Linked DNA regions of Oryzias latipes. The protein of the gene in region 2 interacts with the protein of the main gene of each other region in a pairwise test. Links are inferred from orthologs where the notes say so. Each region holds a gene or a part of one and is shown on either strand. Other genes may lie near its edges.

The links.
Region 1: the proteins of ruvbl2 (region 2) and dpcd interact in binary tests that used the Homo sapiens proteins (3 or more experiments, as listed by UniProt). The two-hybrid records come from large-scale screens. The link is inferred for Oryzias latipes from reciprocal best matches to the Homo sapiens genes RUVBL2 and DPCD.

Annotation. Positions count from the first base shown.
Region 1 is NC_019859.2:29,440,649-29,452,143, forward strand, and holds dpcd (protein DPCD), read right to left. Parts: upstream 6,936-11,495; 5' UTR 6,918-6,935; coding exon 6,851-6,917; intron 4,701-6,850; exon of another isoform or gene 4,682-4,700; intron 4,642-4,681; coding exon 4,561-4,641; intron 4,476-4,560; coding exon 4,347-4,475; intron 4,274-4,346; coding exon 4,173-4,273; intron 3,956-4,172; coding exon 3,912-3,955; intron 3,784-3,911; coding exon 3,681-3,783; intron 3,493-3,680; coding exon 3,394-3,492; 3' UTR 2,913-3,393; downstream 1-2,912. Other genes in the region: fibroblast growth factor 8b-like, read left to right, coding at 1-61, 150-186, 499-679, 1,067-1,173, 1,364-1,660; poll (DNA polymerase lambda), read left to right, coding at 8,177-8,622, 8,809-8,926, 9,009-9,350, 9,440-9,613, 9,871-9,999, 11,101-11,269, 11,344-11,495. UniProt on the Homo sapiens protein: May play a role in the formation or function of ciliated cells.
Region 2 is NC_019872.2:21,686,795-21,698,336, forward strand, and holds ruvbl2 (ruvB-like 2), read right to left. Parts: upstream 6,838-11,542; 5' UTR 6,728-6,837; intron 5,956-6,727; coding exon 5,901-5,955; intron 5,730-5,900; coding exon 5,674-5,729; intron 5,235-5,673; coding exon 5,093-5,234; intron 4,995-5,092; coding exon 4,865-4,994; intron 4,788-4,864; coding exon 4,721-4,787; intron 4,616-4,720; coding exon 4,509-4,615; intron 4,401-4,508; coding exon 4,307-4,400; intron 2,603-4,306; coding exon 2,384-2,602; intron 2,307-2,383; coding exon 2,188-2,306; intron 2,018-2,187; coding exon 1,898-2,017; intron 1,817-1,897; coding exon 1,687-1,816; intron 1,573-1,686; coding exon 1,458-1,572; intron 918-1,457; coding exon 892-917; 3' UTR 758-891; downstream 1-757. Other genes in the region: tripartite motif-containing protein 16, read right to left, coding at 8,934-9,460, 10,219-10,287, 10,569-10,625, 10,734-10,893, 10,983-11,216, 11,363-11,458. UniProt on the Homo sapiens protein: Possesses single-stranded DNA-stimulated ATPase and ATP-dependent DNA helicase (5' to 3') activity; hexamerization is thought to be critical for ATP hydrolysis and adjacent subunits in the ring-like structure contribute to the ATPase activity.

The DNA.
Region 1 (11,495 bases), on a different chromosome or scaffold from region 2:
TCATGAAGCAGTATCTGAACTTCTGCAGGATGAGGCTGAGAGCATCGAGGTTAGGTTATCTGTAAGTAAAGGCGCCAAAGTTGGTGAGTTTTTATTAAAACAAAACTATTTATTTTGAAGCCATTTTTGTGTTTTCTGCTGTACCACAGGTTCCTTCAGTTGGCGGCGCTTTGCTTTTACGCACAGGTAACTCCTGCTCTTACCTCCATTAACTCGGAAGAATTCAAATGTCTTCATTCATATGAGAAAAACTGCGACAACGTCTCATTAAGAGCAACTGGCATCAATTCAAACATCTTGAAAAATGCAGAGCTGCGCTCTGAAAGGTGATCGTTAAAACACATGTGGACGGGGGCGGGGGAGTCACGGCGGGGTGAAAGATCAGCGGCGCTCAAATCAAGAGTGACATGAAAGCGTCTCCGTGCGGCCCGCCGGGGGCTCGGCCCGCCTGACTGACACCGTCAGTCACGCAGCTGCGTCTCCTCTGCTGTCCCGCAGAACTCCGTGCAGTCTCCTCCGAACTTCAAGCAGCATGTGACGGAGCAGAGCCGGCTGTCGGACCGCATGAGCCGCAGGCTGACCCGAACCTACCAGCTGTACAGCAGAACCAGCGGGAAGCACGTCCAGGTTCTGGCCAACAGGAGGGTCAACGCCAACGGGGACGACGGCGCGGCTCACGGTAAAGATGAAAACGTCTGAGCAGCTGTATCAATTTTATGCTGGGGGGGGGGGTGAAGCAGCTTTTGGTGTTTTCTTCTCATCTGTCTGTGGACTTCAGCACAAACTCATCTCTGTACACCAACCAACCTTCTGTCCTCCACTCCTGGGTTTCCAGGGGTTAGTCTGTCTGACTGTCCCCTTCACCCCCCCCCCCCCCCCCCTTTATACTTGAGACAGTGAAACCCTAAAGCTGCTCAGACCCGAGCGTTCTGGAAGGCCTCAGCAACAATCAGGGGGTCCTTCATGTCAGTGTCAGGACTCGGTGGTTCTCCCACATCCATGAATGTCCCGTTTCCTGATGAGGAGGTGCGTCTCTGAATCATCTGCCTCCCCGTTGTCGTTACAGCAAAGCTGGAGGTGGAGACGGACTCCTTTGGAAGTCGTGTTCGCATTAAAGGAATGAAGACGGGATACTACATATGCATGAACAGGAAAGGGAAGCTGATTGGAAAGGTAATCGGAATTTTGACGTTTGTTGACATTCCAGATCCGCTGAGCTTGTCAGACACCAACATTAGATTTGGGGAATTTTCGCAGCACCTCTGAAGGCTTCCCTGAACATTTGATTGTCTGAATAAAAGAGTGGTGTTTTTCGGAAACATCTGAGCCCCCCTCCCTCCCCCTGCTTTTGTCCTCTCTGCAGAGGAAAGGACGAGGCAAAGACTGCATCTTCACCGAGATTGTTCTGGAGAACAACTACACGGCACTCCAGAACGCCAAGTACGAGGGCTGGTACATGGCTTTCACGCGCAAGGGCCGCCCAAGGAAGGCCTCCAAGACCAAGCAGCACCAGAGGGAGGCCCACTTCATGAAGCGCCTCCCGAGGGGGCACCTGCTGAGTGAAAGGAGGCCGTTTGATACGCTTCCTCTGCCCGTCCCCGTTCAGCCTTTCAGCAAGCGGACTAAGCACTCCCATCAGCTGCGCTCGGAGGGTCGCTGAGGGACAAGCGGCACAGCAGAGGCGCCGCCGACAGCTCCAGACTGGAGGGAAACCTGCATGTACGCCTAAGTGCCCGAAGGCCTCGTTTGTGGATTTACTGAGTAATTCTTGGTACTGAATTGTAGATAAACTATCTAATCTGCTAGTTATTTCCAATTCAGATGATCATGGGGGGGGGGGGGGTCTCCTCAACAAAACTGTCCTGGATGAGAGTTTGGGGGCAGAAAACTGCATCAGAGAATGTTTGAAAGGAGGGAAGTAGACGTGGCAGCTATCTGGGCTTCCAGCATCTGAGTCCCGCCTCACCTGTGGGACACGTAACCTGTTCTTTTCTACATATATGAATATATTTTTACTGTAAAAATGTAAATCAAATATTTATTGTAGAGTGTATATTAAAACCACTAAAGAAAAGGTCCAGGCCGAGCTCTGGTGTTTTGGAAAGTCACCCCCTCCTAAAAAATACCTTCTTTTTTTTTCTCCTGGTCTTCTTCGCACTGAAGACCCAGATAACTGAGGGGCAATATCTGTGACAGGCTGCTGAATTCAATGTGCTCAGCAAGTGAGACCCGGGCCTGAATGGCCCGAGCTATGCATTAAAAGCGATGAGGTCAGCCCACCATTTCGGCTCAGACAAAAGTTACCACCATGTAGTTGCATTTCTCACGATCGCACACCGTAACCCTCAGATCAAATGAGCCCTTTGTGGAACCTCATATAAAAGGGCATGTTATACAATAGTGGGTTCGAATAATAACACGAGGAGGGGTCAGTTATCAAAAAGAAGCCAGTCACACAGGGAGGGGCGACGGGGGGGGGTTACAGCTTGCAGAGAAAGCACCGGGGTCTGTGTGGCAAAATGTGGCATCGACTGAAAGAGGGGGAATGGCTGGGAAGAGGCATTCGGGAATGAAAGGGAGGCAGAAAAGAAGCCCTCTTCCCAGAAGCAGCTGAGCATGACCGTCGGAGGCCAAACGACAGGGGAGGAGGACGATCCGGAGCGCAGCCGCTCCCTGCCTGCCCGTCTGCTGCAGTCAAAAAACGACAGATTTCATCTTCCTGGTAGAAGAAAACATCACATCCCTCCAAATAATCTGGACATACGGGAGCACAGAGTGCCTCAAATGTGTTTGTCTTGCATCTGCAGAAAGACAAAGCACAATGACCTGTGGTTTGGTCTCCGCGAGCGGCACTTGCTTTCTGGGTTTGGACAAGCAGAAAAAAATGCTAGGAATCATAAGCTGTACTTAAATCCAAGAGTCTCACTCGAAGGCCCTCTTCAGGCTGCCTTCAGGTTTTTCTTTGAACTGAATCAGACAGTAAACAAAAGTGCAGCCTGTTTCTTCATGCTGCAAACATGCCAGGATGCAAACTGCTGGGCAAAGGTGCCTCAGACGTCTGCTGTCAGCTGTCAGCTCCGCGTTTCTGGGAATCAGAATCAACCAAATGCAAATTTCAAACCATCAGGTACAAGAGAACAAAACGTGTGAACATCCTTGGAGGGATCAAAATGCTTTGTTTGGAAAATGTAAAGATGTGGGATTTCACTTTCGGACAAGTTCTGAAACTCGTACATTTAGGAACATGGAGGTATTTTGCTGTTAATGTCCAGATTGCAATCAAAACAGAAGCGGGGGGAAAACTTGAGGTGGTTTCTGCAGGCGTGTGAACAAAAGCTCTGGAGGAAATGAGGCTGTGAGGCTGTGAATGCAGCCCCCGCTCTCAGCCAGAGCTCACTGGGCTTTGCAGTCCCCCTCAGTCGTCCCCCTCAGCTCCTTCAGCTCCTTCAGCAGTTCCTGCTCCCCCGTTAGGATCTCTTTTGGCTTCTTGTACTGGAAAAGAAGAAGACATTTCTCATTATCATACATCTCTGGCGGCTTCAAAACAATCCGTGAAACACAGAGAAAATGTGACACATTCAACATCAGGCAAAAGCTCTGGTTGGAAGGACATCAGTCTAAAAAAAAGGAGACTGGATGGTTTTTTTTCCAGATTAAAAAGCAAAGTGTGAGAAACTCACACTGACGATCAGCGTGTTGTTGGCGTGTGTGAAGCTGAGGGCGGCGCTCTCCAGAGGCAGACAACATCGATCAAGATCAGGAATACAGAACTTTTTAAAATACCTGCAAAGACACATGCAGGATTACAAACGCACGGTGCGCCGGCAGCAACGCGGATGGTTTGTCTACAGCGCCATCTATAGGGAGAGTCTGAACATTGCATGCAACAAGTGTGCAGCGCAGGAAGGTACTTTTTGTTTGAGGTCTTTATGACGACACATGGGAGCCGGTTTAGCTCGTGCTGGTTTGCGGCGCCTTCCGTCCGTGAAACCAGGGTTCGACTCCGGGCTGCTCCCTGTTCCCTTCTCTACCCCTGTGCCGGTTCCAAGCCCGGTTTGAGAAGGTTGCGTCAGGAAGGGCATCCGGCGTAAAACATTGCCAAGTTTACCATGCGACTTGTTCGCTGTGGCGACCCCTGATGGGAGAAGCCGAAAGAGGAAGAAGATGACGACACATCTTTCAGACGGCTCCACAAAAACACTGAAGACATCTTTCTGGTAGGCGAGGTTCCGGATTCTCCACTGAAAACAGGCTGTGGAAACCAGAGAAAACGCTGCTGAGCTCTGCAAACCCAATCATTACTAAGCTGAGGTCAGGTCAACATAAAAGCAGAAAAAAAAAAAAACCCACATTGGAGCAGCTCTCTCTGATTATGTCCGAGTCCTGAGATCCCGGGGTGTTGACCAGCGGCTCCCCAACCTCCACCTGCCAGGGGCTTTGAGCTCCCAGTGGGCTTTTATGGCGCCATTTCCGCACTGAAACACATTCAGAAGACTCATCCTGACTCTACCGCCGGCGCCAGTACCTTCATGCTGCAGAAAAGCTACATTTGATCCTCACTAATAAGTTCGTCTGTCTTCAAGTCGTATTCTTCTGCCATCTCTTTCCCATCAGAGAAGAGATAGTGGATCTTCCGCTTACCTGCAGGTAGAATCAAAAGTGTTCACGAGAAATACTAAATAAAAATCTCAAGCTGTGAGGTTATGTTATGTTTATTTATCTCTTTCAACAAAAATAATCAGAAAGTGTCGAGCAGGGACGGAGATGTCCGGGTAGAAACCCACTACAACTGCGGCCCCCCCCCCCCCGCTGTTTAACTGACCACCACGAAAAACTGATTTACATTTGATTTTTGTTTGTTTTTGAACACCGATGAAAACCATTGGGGCCTAAATATTTACATGCAGTCACAACAAAATTTTATTCATCACTTGAAGCTGAAACTTGTTTAAGCATTTGCTCTAAACCAGTGTTTTTGTGGGAGATGGTCAAGTGTGCCGTGAGAAATTGCCCTCATTAACTGATCTAAAAACATTTAACATCTCCAGGAAATCAGCTCTTTGTTCATCCAAACAGGCCCTGGTAAAACACATAGAAGTTAAAAATATGAAATATCATAAAATTATTTTTTCTTTGTGTTTATATGATTCTTTTAAAGACATTTTGATAAGAATAACGGGATACCGTTAGCTGCAGCTATAACTGTGTAAGGAAAAGTCCCGCCCCTTTAACTGTCTCCACCAATCATTCTTGAAGGCTTAATCACATGTCATCAGTATGACCAATCAGAAGTGGTTAAAGTCTTCGCTTCCTTGTTTCGATTTAGCGCAAAAAAGTCTCTCTGTTCTAAGAAAAATACCAGCTAAAGCTCGTCTTTAGCGGTGTAGCTTTCCACAGAATCTGGTATCAGACTGTGGAACAAGTGAACAAAACAATGAAGCTCAAAGACGCTGGTCTTTCTGCGGTCGGCGCATTATCGGCACTACATCTCCCATGATGCAGTATAGTGACTGTCTTAGCGCACAATGAGTCTCTCCTCTTAACGTCTTAAAACAACGAACACACATCAAACAGTTTTTGAATCTTTTGACTAAATTTTTAATACATCTTTTAGAAAAAAACAGCTGCAGCTTCCAGCTTTTTATGCAACAATTATCACAAAAATGCATGTGAGATTGCAGAGCGGCTGTAGATCAATACAGACTATGAGCTTATTTTTTTATTTTTTTTTTTTATCTATTTTTTTGGATGCTGGTGTGCCGCGGGATCTTTTTCAAGGTTAAAGTGTGCCGTGTCTCAAAAAAGGTTGAAAAACACTGCTCTAAACAATAAGTGGGGAGAGGCATTTGCCAATAAAAAAAAAAGAAACTCTTCTACTTTTAGGTTGAATTAGCAGATAAATGCAAGGTAAGAATCTTCATCATTACCACCCTAAAATAAAAATATTAGAAGGCAAAACACACACAGTGTATATAATTAAAATACATAGTTTATCTGTATAAGTGCAGTAAAAAAGGACACATGAATTTCTGATTCATGCCAGCTGTATGTAACATAAAGGAATTTTGAAGAAACGTGTTTAGTATTTGCCCTAGACCTTTGCAACAATAAAAGCCTGTGAAAACAGTGGAATGGTCTATGGCACAGACGGATATCTGATCAGAACTTGTGTGGGTTCAGAATTAAAATGCACTTTCATTGTTTGGTACAAATACTTTAGATTTGGGTCCCCATCCAATCAGCGCATCTGTTGTCCAAATACTGCCCTTTCAAACTCCTCCCATTTAATTACTAATCGTAGATTTGCTTTCGGTCTGTTAATAAAAAATGCAGTTTGGGTTTATAATCAAACTAAACAATACTAACTTGGGTCGAAAGATGTTTTTTGATGTCTCATTTAAATCGCCGTCTGAAAGAGCTTTAATGTTCTTGTGAACAAAAAGCATTATTAGCAAACAGGAGCATCTTCATGGTCAGGTTGAGTGGTATGAGGCTCAGGATTCACTGACACTTGAGCTGCTGTGACTTGTTTTTCTCATGATATTATTTTCTAGCTTGTTGTTGCTATTTTCATAGATTCGGAGTTTCTTAAGTAACGTGGAGCGTCACATAGAATATCTAAAGTACTGTTACTGTTAGTATTTTGTAAATACGAACGCATCTGCTCGAGTCTGTCTTTTCGAGATTCTGGTATTAACGTAGATGGAACTGTAGGGACAGCTAGCTTGTTGCCTAGCAACATGATTAGCTATGAAGTGAAGTCCAACTTTAGGAAAGGTAATTACGTCAGGTTAATACATTTTAAAATGTTTTTATTTATTTAAAGAGTATTGTATCTTTTTTAACTTACCACCCTGTATGAGCGCCGTTTTTCTCGATGACTTCAAAACTTCGGTCCAGCTTTGCAGCTCTGCCATTTTACACTTCCGTCTCTCAGGCGGTTACCACGGAAACAAGTGGCGCGAAAATGTTATTGTGTAGTTAATTTTGAACGATAAAACTATTTCTTAGTATTGTCTTATATGAAATATAAGATAATAATTAACATTATTAGTGAAATACAAATAAATTAAAACGCATTATTTTTGTGACCTCAACCCGGAAATGAAGCATTCATAGAAGGAACAACTTCCGCTTCAGGTCACCTGTGTTTGTAACAGGGTAAGAGCTAATATTTTATAGTACAGTTGTTTTAAGCAACAAATGTTCGGTTTTATTTCAAAATGTAGAAATATTTCAATTTGCATCAAACTGCAGATAAAACAGAAAGGGATCAAATTAAAACTGTTTTCTGTTTTCATCGTCATTCGGTGTGAATGAGCAGCTAGCCATTTACAACAAGCGGAGGAATATTGTTGGCCTTATATAGTCCTTCACCATTGTGACTGGATATTTACAAAAATATTAATTACGGTTTTAAAGGAAACACTATAATACAATTCAGAAAATTAACCTGTTTAAAGAATAGTATGTTGTGCCAGGCCCTGAATCTTGTCTAAAAGAGAGAAAAATGCTATCCTCCCTTACTTTTCAATCAATTTTAACTTCAATGATCGTCTTTTTATGTTTTATTTGTCTGCATGCAAGATATTAACTTCTTTTATACTGTAATTTAGCAAGTTTATCCTTTTCTTTTGTACTTTAATTTGATTTTTCCTCTTTAGAAATACTATTTTTTCAAACCGAGTTTTAATTCTATTATTGTGCTTCTTGAAATGACAAACCTCGTCTTTGTTGTTCCAGTATGTTGAGTCCTAAAATAAAGTTCTACTTTTACGTTTTCACCAACTAAAAAACTCGCAAAACATTTTTTTTTCTGGCTTTGCTCTCAAATGAACATAAACAGGATGTGAAGTGAATTTCTCTAAAAACTCAAAAATCTCTGGATTATTTGGAAGGACAATGCTTTACGCAGACCTTCCAGCTCATTTGCTATTACGCTGATATATTTATTCTAACTCCATATTACAGCCCTTTACCTCCGCCCAGTTACTTGCCACAGACACAGTCTGTGCCAGAAAAACATGTTCCCGTCCATCTAAATTCTCCCTTTTCTGTATTTGGAATTTAGTGTTCAAAGGTTGCTTGATGAGAAACCAACCCGTTTATTTATCTTTGGCTCATGTAGTCTTCTGGTCTGTGTGCAGGCCAGCCGTTCCTCTTCTCAGATGGAGAGATGGAGCCCCGTCATGGGATCATGAAGGCTTTCCCCAAAGTTAAAAGAGCCAAAGTGCTACAGGGACAGGATGCCCCTCCGATGAAGAAGAAACCTGACGAAATAGAGGTTAAGGGGGGAAACCCTTTTAGCAGACTGACAGTGTACCTTCTGCCTGCTGGGATTGGAAATGCGAGGTGCCAGATATTCCAGAGACAAATTCAGCAGATGGGAGGACAGTTGGAGAGTTCATTGTGTGCTGCTGTCACTCATGTTGTGGTGGATGACAGCATGGATGGAGACAGGGTTCTGCGATTGCTGAAAGTGGATGGCCTGCCCTCTGGTGTTCATCTGGTGAAATGCAGCTGGCTGAGCATGTGCATTAGTGAGCGGAAACTCCTGGATATGGATGGATACAGCCTTCAACTCCTGGATATGGATGGATACAGCCTTCTTTTACCCAAGAGGTTCATGGTCATCTTTACATTTTCTTTTGGAGTTTTTGTCTCAGATCAGGTTTTTTCTGTATTCTTTTAAACCTCTAGTGTTCATAGTTCAAGATGTTTCTTTCATGCATATCAAAACACATGATTTCATACATAAATGACATATTGGTATATGCTTTACATCTTTTAAATATATTGTCCACCCAGGAGCTCAGAATCAAAGCTGGAAAGTGTGAGTGAAAAACAAGCGGATTTCAAATCGATTGCAGAAAACTTCCCAGATCCAGAGACTCTTCAAACCAAGCAGGAGGAAGCTGCACTCACGGTCTGTTTCCAGGTCACAGCATTCTCAGATGAACCTGTCAAAGATAAGCTTTTCATCACGATTTATCTTAACACCTTTCTAGCAGACAATCCCAGACACTAAAGAGGAGGTGGGTGGGGAGGAAGACTGCGTCTCCCAGAGCGACCTTGTAGCTCTAATCACTGGTCAGCACCCCGAAGAAGAGAGCCCAGGCGCAAGTGGAAACCCTGATCCAGAGGCTGTCGTGGAGAAAACGGTCCCAGGGAAGTGGGTCTGTGCTCAGTCTTCCAAGTCTAAGACTAATAACTTTAATAAGCACATCACAGACAAGCTGGAGTTACTGGCTAAGGCCTACACACATCAGGGGGACAAGTGGAGGGCTTTGGGGTACTCCAAGGCTGTCAATGCACTGAAAAGCTACCACAAGCCAGTGACTTCATATCAGGTAGAGCTTGCTTTAAGAGCTGCTGGTTCCACTGGTTTTTAGCATGTAATCAACTCTCTCGTTTTCTCATTTCAAATCACTTTCTCTAGGAAGCATGCCAGATCCCGGGAATTGGAAAGCGCATGGCCGACAAGATCGATGAAATAATGGAGAGCGGCCACTTGCGTAAGCTGGATCACATCGGGGAGGCCGTGCCAGTGTTGGAGCTTTTCACCAACATTTGGGGGGCAGGAGCCAAGACTGCACAGCTGTGGTACCAACAGGTGAAAACACAGCCTACGGCCTCTGCCATGTCATTCCTCTGTAATACTAACGGAGGTGGTTTCATCCCAAACTTTGGGATTTATGGAGCTGCTCCAGTTCCAGCTGGGAAACAGGATATTTAGCTGTTGTTTTTGTTTGTTTTAAAGACTCGTGAAATGTTTTTTTTTAACTCAGAGAAACTGAGTTTTTTGTCATTAAGTTTTCTTGTTGAATACCAGCAGTCTCCAGAGGAATTTAGTGTCTTTTTTGCTGTCAGGGATTTCGCACCCTGGAGGACATCCGCACCAAAGCTCGCCTGAGCGCTACTCAGAAAATTGGCCTGAAGCACTACAATGACTTTCTAGAGCGAATGCCCAGAGAGGAGGCAGCAGCTATCGAAAAAGTGGTAATAAATCTTCATTTGACCCATCAAATGCTTGCTTTGTTCTGTGATGATGACTGAAACATTGACTCCTACAAATGTTAGGCTGCATTCCTATGCAGGTGATGGGATCCTCCTTTGAACCATCAGCCATTTGTGAATTGAAGCCCTGAGGTTGGAAAATGTTTGCTGTAGCTTTGCTGCACGATGATGTAAAAAACAGAGAGCAGCGTCCCAAAGGGGAAAAGGAAACTCCAAACCTGGACTGCTCTTAAGTTGGCCAGATAACTGCTGGTTTCTCTGTCAAAGAGCTGCTGACCGGGATTTTCACTTTCCATCAAAGCTGCCAGTGAGAGATTAGACGCGAAGAAGATGACAAAAGCATGTGTGTGTCCTTGGTCTGCGAAATAATGTGCTTTGCAAGGATGCCTCCATATTTAAGGGGGAAAAGTTAAGCATTTGCTGGTGGGGGGCACCAGAGGAAGACTGCAAAAGGAAAGGGTCTCTTTTTTCACGTAAAGAAACTTTCACTTTTCAGCCCTGAAGAAACCAGAGGGCTGGAGTCTACTCACAAACATCTCTGGAAGATTCCTGGAGTTTTCAGGAATGTCAGTGACCCAATCATCATGCCCATCAGGGATGAAGACTTTGCTCCTGATGCACAGATTTCTCTGGAAATGTTTATGATATTCTGCTCTGGAGAAAGTCCTTGTACTTTTAGGTTGAGGAACATTTTTGGAAAAAAAATTCTCAATCTTTGTATGTTTATCAAAGGGCTTCTTTTTTCCTTTGTCTCTATAAGAAAACCCAGTAAAGATGATCATGTAGCAGACCTGACATCAATCAACGTCATTACTTGAGAAGTTCTCCAAGCCCAATTCTTTCATTTCCTGCTTCTTTGGTCATTTCTTGCCCCGATTTCACTATGAAACCTGCAGCAGCCTTACATTTGAAATGAGCTCATTTAATTCATCAAAGTCAGATTCCTCCGTTTAAACATTTACCTTGTCCATGTTAGGTTGGGAATAGAACATTGGTTTAGAAAGCATCGGAAAATCTTTTTAATTGTGGTCAAGTTTTTAAAAGGCCCAGAACTTTAGTCATGCAACGGCTTCTTCTGTGCAGGTGAGGGAAGCTGTGAGAACCTTGGATCCGGGACTCGTGGCCGTCGCCTGTGGTTCCTACCGTCGGGGAAAGGCGACTTGTGGAGACGTGGACGTACTCATCACTCACCCTGATGGCAAGTCCCACAGAGGCGTCTTCAGCAAAGTGTTACAAATCCTCCATGATGATGGTAATCTTATTCATTTGTAAGCAATGTTATTGGATTTTCATGTAGGAGAGGGTGACAAAGTTTTGCCATTTTAGGGTTTTTGACAGACGATTTGGTGAGCCACGAGGAGAATGGAGAGCAGAAAAAATACATGGGTGTGTGCCGGTTGCCGGGCCACCGTCATCGCAGGTTGGACATCATCATAGTGCCTTACGACGAGTTTGCCTGCGCACTTCTGTATTTCACC
Region 2 (11,542 bases):
AGAACTTCTAGTACTACTTCATTCTCTTTCAGTCCGAATAAACCATCACAACATGAGAACATGCTTCTCCACTGACCTCAGTCTGCAGTCTTTTATATATAAACCGCCTGCCCTCTCTAGCACATGACCACTTCATTGATTAGCAGAAATATCACTGCATCAGTTTGCCTTTACAGAAATCCTAGAGGCCAGAGCAGAAGTCATAGAGCTCCACCTGGTGGTGGCAAAGAATAACTAAAGTGACTTGTTTCAATCTTTTTCAGGTGAAACTCAAACACTTCTGAAGTTTTCCACTTGTGTTCAAAAGCTTTTTTTTATGAAAAAAAGTGCACATTAAACAAATAATTGTAATTCATAATCCATTTCAAAAGCCACACCATGCGAAACATAGATAAAAAAAAGAACAACTGTCATAAATTACATCATAATTCTAACCCACGTTTGCTAAGGTGCGTCATTGTACTCGGAAACACATGTAACCGTAAAGGTTTGGTCTCAGTGTTCAGACTAAAATCACAAATAAAACCTTGGAGAGAATTAGAAACCAATGAGACATTAAAAATACCGAGTATGACTACAAAAGTCCGTTTAATTGTTCAAAAATAACAAGCAGTGACAAATCAAAACAAAGAACAAACCACAGGAATGGGTTTCCTGGCTTAAAGGCCTCATTGATTAACACAGTTACGGTAAATCCACAATTTCTGTGATTTTATGACAAATTCCTGAATACAACACCAAATGAGTAGCAAACCAATGGAAACATGTAGGACTTTAATGAATTCATATTTCATCTCTACTTCAGGTAATCACTTGACTCAAAGTGGGGATTCAGTCCTAAACTGCTTGAATCTAGGAGAGAAGAAGCAGAGAAGCTGAGCTGTGTTTTCGTTATGAAGTATCCATGACGGCCGTTTCTGCAACACAAAAACACGCTCAATGTACTTTTCGTCCTTCAATATTTTAGGGAGAGTATAAAAGTTATCATTGCAAATGCAAAAAGGGGGCAGTTAAAGGCCCATTCTGATAAAATGTGTGTTCTTGTGGCATTCTTCTGATGATATAGAGGCTTAAATAAAGAAAATGAAGAATACAAATTGTATTTCTGATTACTTTTTTATTCAAATTGTTGTGAATCAGAAGGACATAAAAAAAAAAGAGCGTATCTGAGGTAGAAAATATGCTGAGCGAGAGACAAGCTCCCTGCTCTCAGCAACGGGACGGGAAGAGGGGGCGGAGTTGCTGCGCACCAACAGTCCCATCCACAACTCAAAGGTGAAATTCTAATGAGCTACTGCGAGCGACGCAGCAGAAACTATGTCTAGAGAACGACAGGTTTTTTGATTTTGGCAAAAAACAGCAACATCATAATTAAAAAGAACACTGGGATCGGAGTGGGACTTTGAGAAATTCAAAAGTGTTGAGATTTGGTTTTTGTTTTTAAACTTGAAACTTACGTGTTTCGTTAAAGAGGAAGGAATCCTGGTACTCCTTCATGTACTGAGAGGACCTGGCCTCATCCAGGAACAGAGAGTAAACGCGTTTGATGTCCTCCACCTGAACTTCTGTCCCCTGAAGCAGCACAAACAAAAAGATCCCTCCGTGATGAAAACAGTCACATGTTCTCATTTACCAAAACACCAGAAAACAGTGATGCTGAGAGCATCTTCTTGTAGTGGAGCTTACTTTGCGCTTGCGACACACCAGCCCTGCAGTGCTGATCAGCTGGATGGCGTAACGCAGCGACGTCTCCATGCCGATTCGAGTGAGCACCGTGTGCGCTTCCTCACTTAGCTCCACATCCTCCTCCTCACACCTGAAACACCGGGAAGTGGATGTGAGTGATGCTGAAAACAGGAGCAGGGTTCGGTGGCGGGAAGCAAACCCGCGCTCCCACCTGATCTTGAGGATCTGCCTGGTCTCTTTTTCGGTGTACGGGGACGTGGCGATGATGAGCAGCCGGTCCAGGAGGTCAATGGGGATGCCGTGAGGACTCTGATAGTTTGTGCCACGAATTCTGTGGGAAAACGTACGAAAATAAAACAAAGAATGTTTTTGTGGGGGGGAGAAAAAAAAAATCAAAGATTATAAAACAACTTTTAAATTTTAGAGCATTAGTTTTGAAGGACGCGTAAGCCATACACATCAAAGGAAACAGCTGAAGTGAATCAGCAGCATGAACAGTACCGAGTGATGCCTCTGTTGGTGGCCATGATGAGGACTGGAGACAGGTCGCTCTCCAGGGCTCGGTTCAGGAAGGAGAAGCACTCCATGTCCAGCATATGCACCTCGTCAATAAATAACACCTGGAGCCGCACGCATGCACACACAGTTACCCTCAACCAAACACAAAAAGGATCCCAAAATGCAGGCGGCGGCGTACCCCTGGAATGATCTCCGCCTTGCCTTCTTCCCTCCACTCACACACTTTGGCATTGATCTGCTCTCGGACTTCCGACTTGATTTCTCCGGTGTCTCCGGAGAACAGAGCCAGGAAGCCTTGTGTGCGGCTGTTGATGACGTCGATCTCATGGAGGGACACTGTGTGCACCACCTCCTTCCTCTTCTGCAGCTCTCCTTCAGGACACTGGACAAACTGAGTCTGCAAGCAGAGGAAATGGACAGCAGTTACAGCTGATGCGGTTTAAGGATCAGCTGACGGTTCTCAAGAGAAAATCACTAGATCATCTTTTACCCTCAATTGTAATTGATTAAATTCTTTAGTTTTTGTTTTGTTTTTTCAAATTAGTGTCAGTAAAACGCAAAACTGGCTGGAATATCAACACCAACAACAAATATAAAACAAATACCATTCTCGTAATGAAACCGCATTTAGTGAATTTTGAAATTTAAGTGCATCCCCTAAACATATTTGAAGATCCACTCTAATGAAAACCCTGTTTTTTTTGTTTTTTATTTTGTTCTTGGGAGATTTTTCTCTTGATGGAGGAAACTTATCAAGAAAATTACAATTCTGACTATTTCTTTATTCAAATTGTTGTGAACCAGGAGCAGATCCTGTTTGAAAATGTTCCCATTTATGACGTAGAAACTACAATCGGCAGTTACAGGCTCCCTGCTCCGCTCCATTCTGATGCATCCGCCTGCAGACAAAGAGATCCATGAATGTCTTTGTTTTCCTCGTCTGAGCTGGAATCTGGATCTAAACTGTACGGCTGGATAGAACTAACATTGCTCGCCATTTTTGTGGCAGCAGTAATGTTAGGTTGGGGTTGTGAGGGGCTGTAAGCTAGTGGGAGAGTGTAAAAACAGAGCTCTCAGCAACAGGGACGGGAAGGTTGTTTCGCGCCGACAAATCAGAGGCAAATGTCTAATGAACTCCTGCATTGGAAACTATGTCACAGCTTCAACCCCACCTGCTTTTGCAGAACAAGACGTCACTGCTCCCTGTGTTCCATCCCTCCACCTTATTACGCCGTGTCTGCTGTCAGATTTTGTTTAGTGTCCTTCTTTGAGTTGCAGTCATTGCTGTTTGCAAAGACAAACATCTGCTACTGACCAAGTTTGTGGTCCATTAAATCTTTTTATTTTTTATTATATATTACTCATTTGTGGTTCATTTGACAGAGTGAAACTTAAAGCTTAAATGACAGAATCCACGTTTTTTTTTTTCATTTCAAGTCTTCATTATTTGAGACACTTTTTCATTTGAGCAGAAAGGATTCTCGGGATAAACAATATTCAGATAAGTTTTATGCAAATCAATGTCATCATAACCCAAGATTTTGAGATTAACCAGTTCTGAAGTTACATTTTCAAGTACAGTGTTCCCTCATTTACCGCTGGGGTTACGTTCTAAAAATAACCCACGATAGGTGAAATCCGTGAAGTAGGATTACAGATGTTTCAAGGCCGTAAACCTCCTCACTACACACTTTTTACACTTTTCTCAGACAAACATGAACATTTTCACACTTGTCTCTCTTGTTTAAACTCTCAAAGTTCTGTTTTATAGAATGAAAACAAAGATCTGATTGTGACAAAAGATTGATGTAACTCTGGTAAGATGAGCACATTGTGTAAAGAACAGAGAGGGGATTAATTGACAAGGTCAACAGCCAATCAGGACGCACAACACAGTGCTGTAAAAAGAAAAAAAAAACGTGCAGAATTGCAGTAAAAGAAAGCGAAAGGTGAACTGTGATATAGCAAGGGAACCCTGAAATCATAGTATTCATTATAATCTTCAAGTGATAACACTTACAGAGGCTTCAGGTGGACTTTGTATTTGACTATAACCCAAATTCAAAGTATGGTATTCAACTGTCCCATGCAGAGATCTTACCTGGGCTCCCATGGCGTCGTAGTCTCTGGCTCTAGTGAAGGAGCGCCCCAACTTGGAGATTTTCCCGGTGGCTTTGTCAATGGTAATAACATCACTAAAAAGTGTGTTTAAAGACAAACAAGAAAAGCTCCATTTAGATAGGACTGAGAAAAAAACAAAACCCAAACCTTTATATTGCTTTATGAGGAGAAGATGAACTCACCCGGCTTGAACTTTCTCTTTACTGAGGCTTTCAATCATCTTGTTCCCCAAGTCATATATTGTCTCCATCTCTGTAGTCTTCAGAGTCAGCTTCCCCACCTTTGCACCCTGATTAAAGCAAACCAGCTCAACATGAGGCGAATCAGCTAAATAAATCAACGTTTTCTAAAGCTATGGTATGGAAAGACTGTTTATGAAGTGAAAGGATCTTACTGTTCCAGTGGCGGGTCTGTCAATCTGGATTTCTACCACCTCCCCTTCAATGATTTCTGTCTCCTCTCTGGATTTATGGGGGGGAAGAGAGCGGACTTAATTTCTATCCAAAAAAAACAACCTAAACCTTGTTTATATACTTACTTGATTCTCACTCCTATAGCTTTTCTAAAAGCTTGGCTCAGTGCTTCAGTTTTGCTCATTTCCAGGGAAAAGATCTCACTTCCAGCCAGAGCTGTAAAGGGGGTGTCAGGGCCCAAAGACTGAGCAATACCTGTAGATGAAAGAAAAACATGCAACAAGCCTCAAATAGCCAACAGAACTTTGCCTCAGGTGGAAACTTGTATGCATCATTTCTGGTCCCATGCTCACCCATAGCAATAGCCGTCTTCCCCGTGCCCGGCTGGCCAGCAATCAGAACGGCCCTGCCGGCGATGTGTCCGTCTTTGATCATCTCCAGGATTATCCCTGCTGCTCGACGGGAGGCCAGCTGGCCGACCATCCCCTGTGACACCTGCAGGTGAACAGGGAACTCAACTCGTTCAGCAGCAAATATGCCTCATTCGGATTTTATCCTTTGACTTAAGGGACATTTTGAATGCTTTAAACAAGCTGCTAAAAGACTTTCCTGTTGGAATCACAACATGTGGGTTTAGTGCTGACAACAGGGCTTTAGAATCAAGTCTCGCTTTGCTACTTGACTACCTCTATACTGCTTCATGTTGTTTCCACACACAACAAAACATTAAAAGGTACATTCGAAACATTTTAACCTCTCAAGTTTAACAGCAGTTTAAAAATATCCAAATATGTTTTCCTCTGTTAAGTTTTTGCCTTTTTAAAGGACATGAATTACAAAAAAAAGCCATAATTTTATCAAAACTACAAACACCTAAAACTACTGAAGTCTTGGGTCAAAACAGAGATCAACAAACAGAAGTGCTGCACGTTACCTGTCTGGGCTCCAAAGCATCGTCCAAACCAAGGCCCCGAATGTGAGAGTGGGCCCCTAACCACACAAAGATGAAACTATTACACAAAATATTACAAACATACGGGAAATCATAGCAAAAATAAATACACACAGCTCATGTAGAGATAAGGCATGTTCTAAAGTTTACCATTCAATTTAAGCTTACCATTTATTTCTAAAGTGTTGAAAATCTGCATGGGGTCTTACCTATTCTTTCAATCCGTGTAATGTCCCGAACCTCTGGCACTTTTGTAGTTGCCATCTGTAGAATAATACATCAATGACAAGAAGAAAACAAAAAAATGCAAAGAAACATTTTTAAAACAATTTGCCTCATCGTAAACAAAAGAACAAATATTTTCAGAGGAGTTTAGGCCTTCGTTGATCTTTGACTAAATCTTAAGAGCATTTTTTATTGTTTGTTTAAAAATCCTGCTTATGAAAAAGAACAGCAAGAATTCCTTATGTGTGTGTTCAAATATCGATGACACTTTTGGATGTTTATCGTTTCCAAAGAGAGTTAAAATTTGCATCCTCCATTCACCAATGTTTTAGTGTTTTCCACATAGACTTTGTCAAAGCAATATAAATGTGGAATTCCTTTTATGCTCCACTTGTCCTGTCCGTTGTCATAGTGACAGCAATGAATGACCACACACAACACAACAGCAAAGCTTAGTCAACACTCTTTGACATTTTAAAATATATATACGCATATTTGTGAAACATATCTAGGAAGGAAAGTATTAGTAAATCAGGTTTAGAAAAATTGACACTTCACTGAAATTAGTTTATTTTCTAATATGAATACGGGGGGAGAAAATCGACAGGTAACATCAGCTAACGATATTAGCAAACAAGCTAGCATCATTCACACCGTTCATAACGCAAAACAACAGCACACGCCATATTAGCCGGGTAATAAAAGCCTGCATGACACGCGGAAGTACTTAAAAATAAATTGGCTATACTACTTGGGTGAAAATATTAAAGTCCAAATTGATTTTAACATCTACTACAAACTCAGGACTCACCTCCGCAGCCACACTTAAAAAACGTGAGAAGCGCCGCTTCTTTCTCAGGGAGTACTGGTTAAATGTGTCCGACAAGAAACATGCGAAGCCGTTCAGTTCCGCTACTAGAGTTTATTGGGACTGCCCTCTATAGACTCAAATGTGAATTACAAATCTGGCGTAAAAGCCCGGATTTGTTTTTGAGATGAAAGCTACGTTTTTGTCTTGATCGTCACGATAATGATAACCTGAAAATACTTAAATACTTCGAAATTATCTTTCTGTGTGTCAAATTTACTACCTAACAAATAATGTTTTTGGCATTTTTGATACCTATAACTATTAGAACTGAAATTTTAAGCATTCAAATACAGATTAAAGATTAGAAAGAAAAATAAACTCAGGTTGCTAATAATTTAAGACCTGGATTGCAGTCATCTGAACAAAATAAAACCAAGGAATCTAAAATTGTAGTTTAAAAAAATACTTTAAACTTAAAGAAATGCATAAGAAAACGTCACATTTTAAACAACTTATCATGCTGTTACCTTGAAAAAAAGATAATTAAACCTAAAACATCACAAATATTCATATATTTATTTCCCAACAAATGTAAAAATATGATCATGCATTAAAAAACATGTACTCCCTTAATATGCACTGCTTTTATAATGTGTGCTTGAAGTCCTTATGGTAATTTTCTCTCTTTATCATGACTTATATAATCCATAGGTGATCTCCTGAACCAAAACTGGTCAGAGAAACTAAGAGGTTTCAAAAACTTTCCATTTTGACCCAAAAGAAACCCTGTTGGTTTGCAGAGGATGTGACTAAACCTGATTAGTCTGAAGAAAAGCCCAGCAGCACTGCACAGATTTTTCCACTAGAGGATGCAAGATTAATGTTGTGCAAGGATCCTCATATAGACAAAGTTATAGTAAGAGATCTACTAATAAACCAAAGTTATAGGATTGATGACAGAAGCCACATGAAACTAAATGATGCTTGTAGAGATATTTCAGTTAGAGGGAGTAAGTGTAAACAACCCCTACATAAGGTATGAAGTGTAGGAATGGGTGTTGTTTCTTATTATTTACCTTGTAAAAAAACTGCATCTCCCTTTTTTATTTGCCAAGTCTGAGGATAATCTCTTTATCCTCAGAGAAATTGTTGAAAATGTTTAGACGAAATAACTCGAAGGAGCAGACCCCTCTGAAGTGCTACAGAGGGGGTCTTAATATCCTTTCCATAAATCATCAAATTCAACCCTCAAGGCTGAAGGGTTCCAGATCATAATGTTTCATTCAGGAAACAGATGGATGCTGAAAATGACAGGTTCTTCAAGACTGAAATGAAAGAGACAAGGATGAAGCAAACTCATCGTTGTTTCATTTCAGGCGTCAGTTGTTGGGTGTGGCAAACAAGTTCAGCAGCACCCACTTGAATTGCTGAGAGGCACTCACAAATTGCATTTTTTGTGTAGACGGACCAGAGTCCGTTGGGTTGAGTGACTTTGGAAACACTTCATGGAGCAGCTCTTTTGTCTTTTGTGCCGTTTTAGGTCCAGATGTCGATCTTTGCTTAAATCCAACTATTGGAGTTACTTTTATGAAATCCTTTTACGACAAATTAGTCTATCATCAAGGCACTGCTGATTGTGAACTGTCAAAAGACAATGCCTCTGTCATACAGTGTAGGAGTGGTGGCGGGGTAAATTCCTGTGACTTGCCACAGAACAGGATGTTCCCCGAGATCGCACTTCCTCCAAACAGGCAAATGAGTGTGAGGTCCTTTCCGTACGAGGTTCAATTTCATGTTAAATCTAGGTGTGTCTAGTAGTTCTAAATGTTACATTTTTATACCTGATGTTCATGTTAGTGAGCAAAAAGGGACAAGAAGCTGAAAGTTGTGGTAAAATAAGTTTTACTTAAATAAAAGGATGAAAAATCACAGCATGAAACCAAATGTTTATTGATAAAATACAGATACAAAATGACTAAAATAGGTTTGAACTGCAGTAAGTTGTTTTCATCTTTTCAAACTTTACATTCATTCAAAGATTATTCACATTCATCACAAATCACTTCCCCTGATTAGTACACATGTAAAAAAATTCTACATCTCTCTTTGAAAAAAAATCTAAATATATATATATATATATAAATCAAATCTTTTTGGAAAAGTAGTTTGTGTTAATATTTTTCCTACTCATTGATTTGTAATGTATTCACAGTTGGACGATGGTGACAGCAGACTCATACCAAACCCAGAACCCTGGATAAACAGGTTCGCTGAAGGAGGCCTTAAAAGTGTGGAGGAGAGACATGGTGTCCCCCACAGCGTAAAAGGAGAGGGTTCCTCCAACATGGTCCAGGAAAATCCCGATGCGGGGGCAGTACGGAGCGTTGATCTCAACTTGGTCCTTGCTATGGCGGGCCGAGTAACTGGAGTCAGAGCAGAAGAAGCTCCAGGATTTACGGTTGTGACCGATGCGGGCGTGGTCACCGTAGCCTGTCCTCTTGATGCCTTTGTAGGCAATTCCTATGGCTGCCCCCTCCCCACTCCAGTCTACCTCCCAGTAAAAAGCATTTCCAGCAAGGGGCTCTTTGCACAGAACCTGAGGCAGGGAGTCGAACCTGTTGGGGTGATCGCTGTAGGACTGCGTGTCTCTCTTGAGGGTGGCCTTCCTGTTTCCACGAGACAGGTAGAGCTGTCTGTAGGCCGTATTTGGATCCAGAGTGAGCTGGCAGGCATCTGCAGAGGGACAGAAGACAGAGTGAACATTCATCCAGCAGGAGGGAGAATTTATTGTTAGAGTTAAACATAAACGAGGAAATTCTAGGAGGCGGATAAAGCACCCATCACCATCCTACAGGAAACAACAGGGTCCTAAGGTTAGCAGGACGTCATGAAGTTTTCTAGCTCTGTTAGAAGTTTAACCAACGTTTGTAATGTCATGCTTCACAGAAAGGGTGTGAGACCCTATGGCTGGACACACAGAAAGCAAAACGATCAGCGGGTCACCTGCCTGCTGTGCACCTTTGCCTCTGCAGGTCACAGTTGATGGGACACTCGATAGCCTCGGCTATTTCTGGCTGGCCTATGATCTGGAATGCCAGAAGCATCAACAGTGTTTGTGAATTTGACCACAAACTTGTTCCCCAAACATTTTCAAGTCTAAGGTGAGAGCCATCCTCAAACAGTCTGTTTTCAGTTGAAATTCTATGCTCCTGGAGCAGGACTAACGAATGGAAATGGCTTTTTAGAGCTACTAAAACAAGTGAAAAAAGGTGTTTCAACTGTAAGGGAAACACAAACCCTGAACAAGTGCCTGCGACTTTTAATACTTGTGATGCATCTGTCCCTGTCTCTGTCAACACTCTAGGATGGGAAATGTTTCGAAAGCGTTGGGGTTTAGTGGTCAGCCACAGGGTCTGACAGAGAATCTCAGCAGCGTCTAGATTTCCTGAACTGAGCGACGAGAGCAACGTCACTGCAGAAAATAGACTCACATCTCAGGAAGTCATCCCGGTACTGGGGCTCTCTGACCGGCATGGACTTGTACATGGGAGCTTCCTCAGCTGTGGGGGCAAATGCAAAACACAGATTTTCAAATTAAAATTGTGTAGACGGAAAAAAAATGAAAACAATTGCTCAATGTGCACCAATGACAGTCATCACAACTGTCTCAGAAAAGATAACCGGTAGCTAGAAAGGACTGTATTTCTTCTTACAGCACTCTTAATATGAGTTCAGAAAAGGATCTGACTTCATTCACTAAAACTTGTCCACACTTATTTAGATCCCACATGCTTCTTTGTCATCGTCATCAACGAGATGCTAGATTATTGTCTTGACTTACCTTTGATTGATCGTTTCTTTTTGGCATCATCCAGTTCACAGAAGCTCATTTTGTTCACTGTAAAATTAAATAAAAAACACACAGGAGTTAGCATGGCTAAGGCTGTGGAGATAACTGCTTTTGAGAAGTAATAAAGTCAGTGTTCTGGTGGTGATCCACGCTCACCTGTCTTGGCCACCTTCACAAGCTCATCATTGCTGAATTCGTTCATGTGCTGCTTCATCTCAGACACGGCCTTGGTCACAGGGCCAAAGGAGAAGTAGGGGTTGACAGTAACTGAAGGCAGTTCCTCAGCCTCAGTCTGGGCTATCAGCATGTGGTAAGTCTGACAATAAAAAATATCATGACTTTTACAGATGATGCACTTATTGGAGTTAGTTTGAGCATGCCTCTTGTTTCAGGTGCCATGCTAACCTGGATGAAGTGGATGTGGTCTTCAGTGCGGGACAGCTGGGTGATCTCACTGTCTCTTCTTTTCAGGTCAGCGATCTCATGGTTCAGGCGCTCCATGTGGCCCTCGGCATTGCTCAGTGCCGCTCTCTTGTTGGTGGATATCAGCTTGGCCATCTCCTGCTGCATCCTCTCGATGGAGCGCATCATGTCCCCAAACATCTTCTCACATTCCTGCAGCGCTCTCTGGGCTGAGTTCTGCACAGAAAAAAAAACGGGTTTTTCTAATATAAAGTGCGAGGCACGCAGATTCAGAACACTTAGAGGAGCTGCCATCTACAAGAAGGACTGTTTCCTGGTTTGCAGTGGCTCTTATCTGTTGGATGAATGATCGGGTCACAGACCTTGAGTGAGTCCACAGCTTGTTTGAGCTCCTCCATCTGCTTCAGACGGTCATGAATCTTCTCCTGGATCTCTGCCTGGGTGGCACCAAGCCTTTGCTAAAATAAAATAAAAATAGATATATCGACTCGTTCGACCAAATAATGTATCGTCTGTTTAAATTTGAGCTCATTAAACTCAGG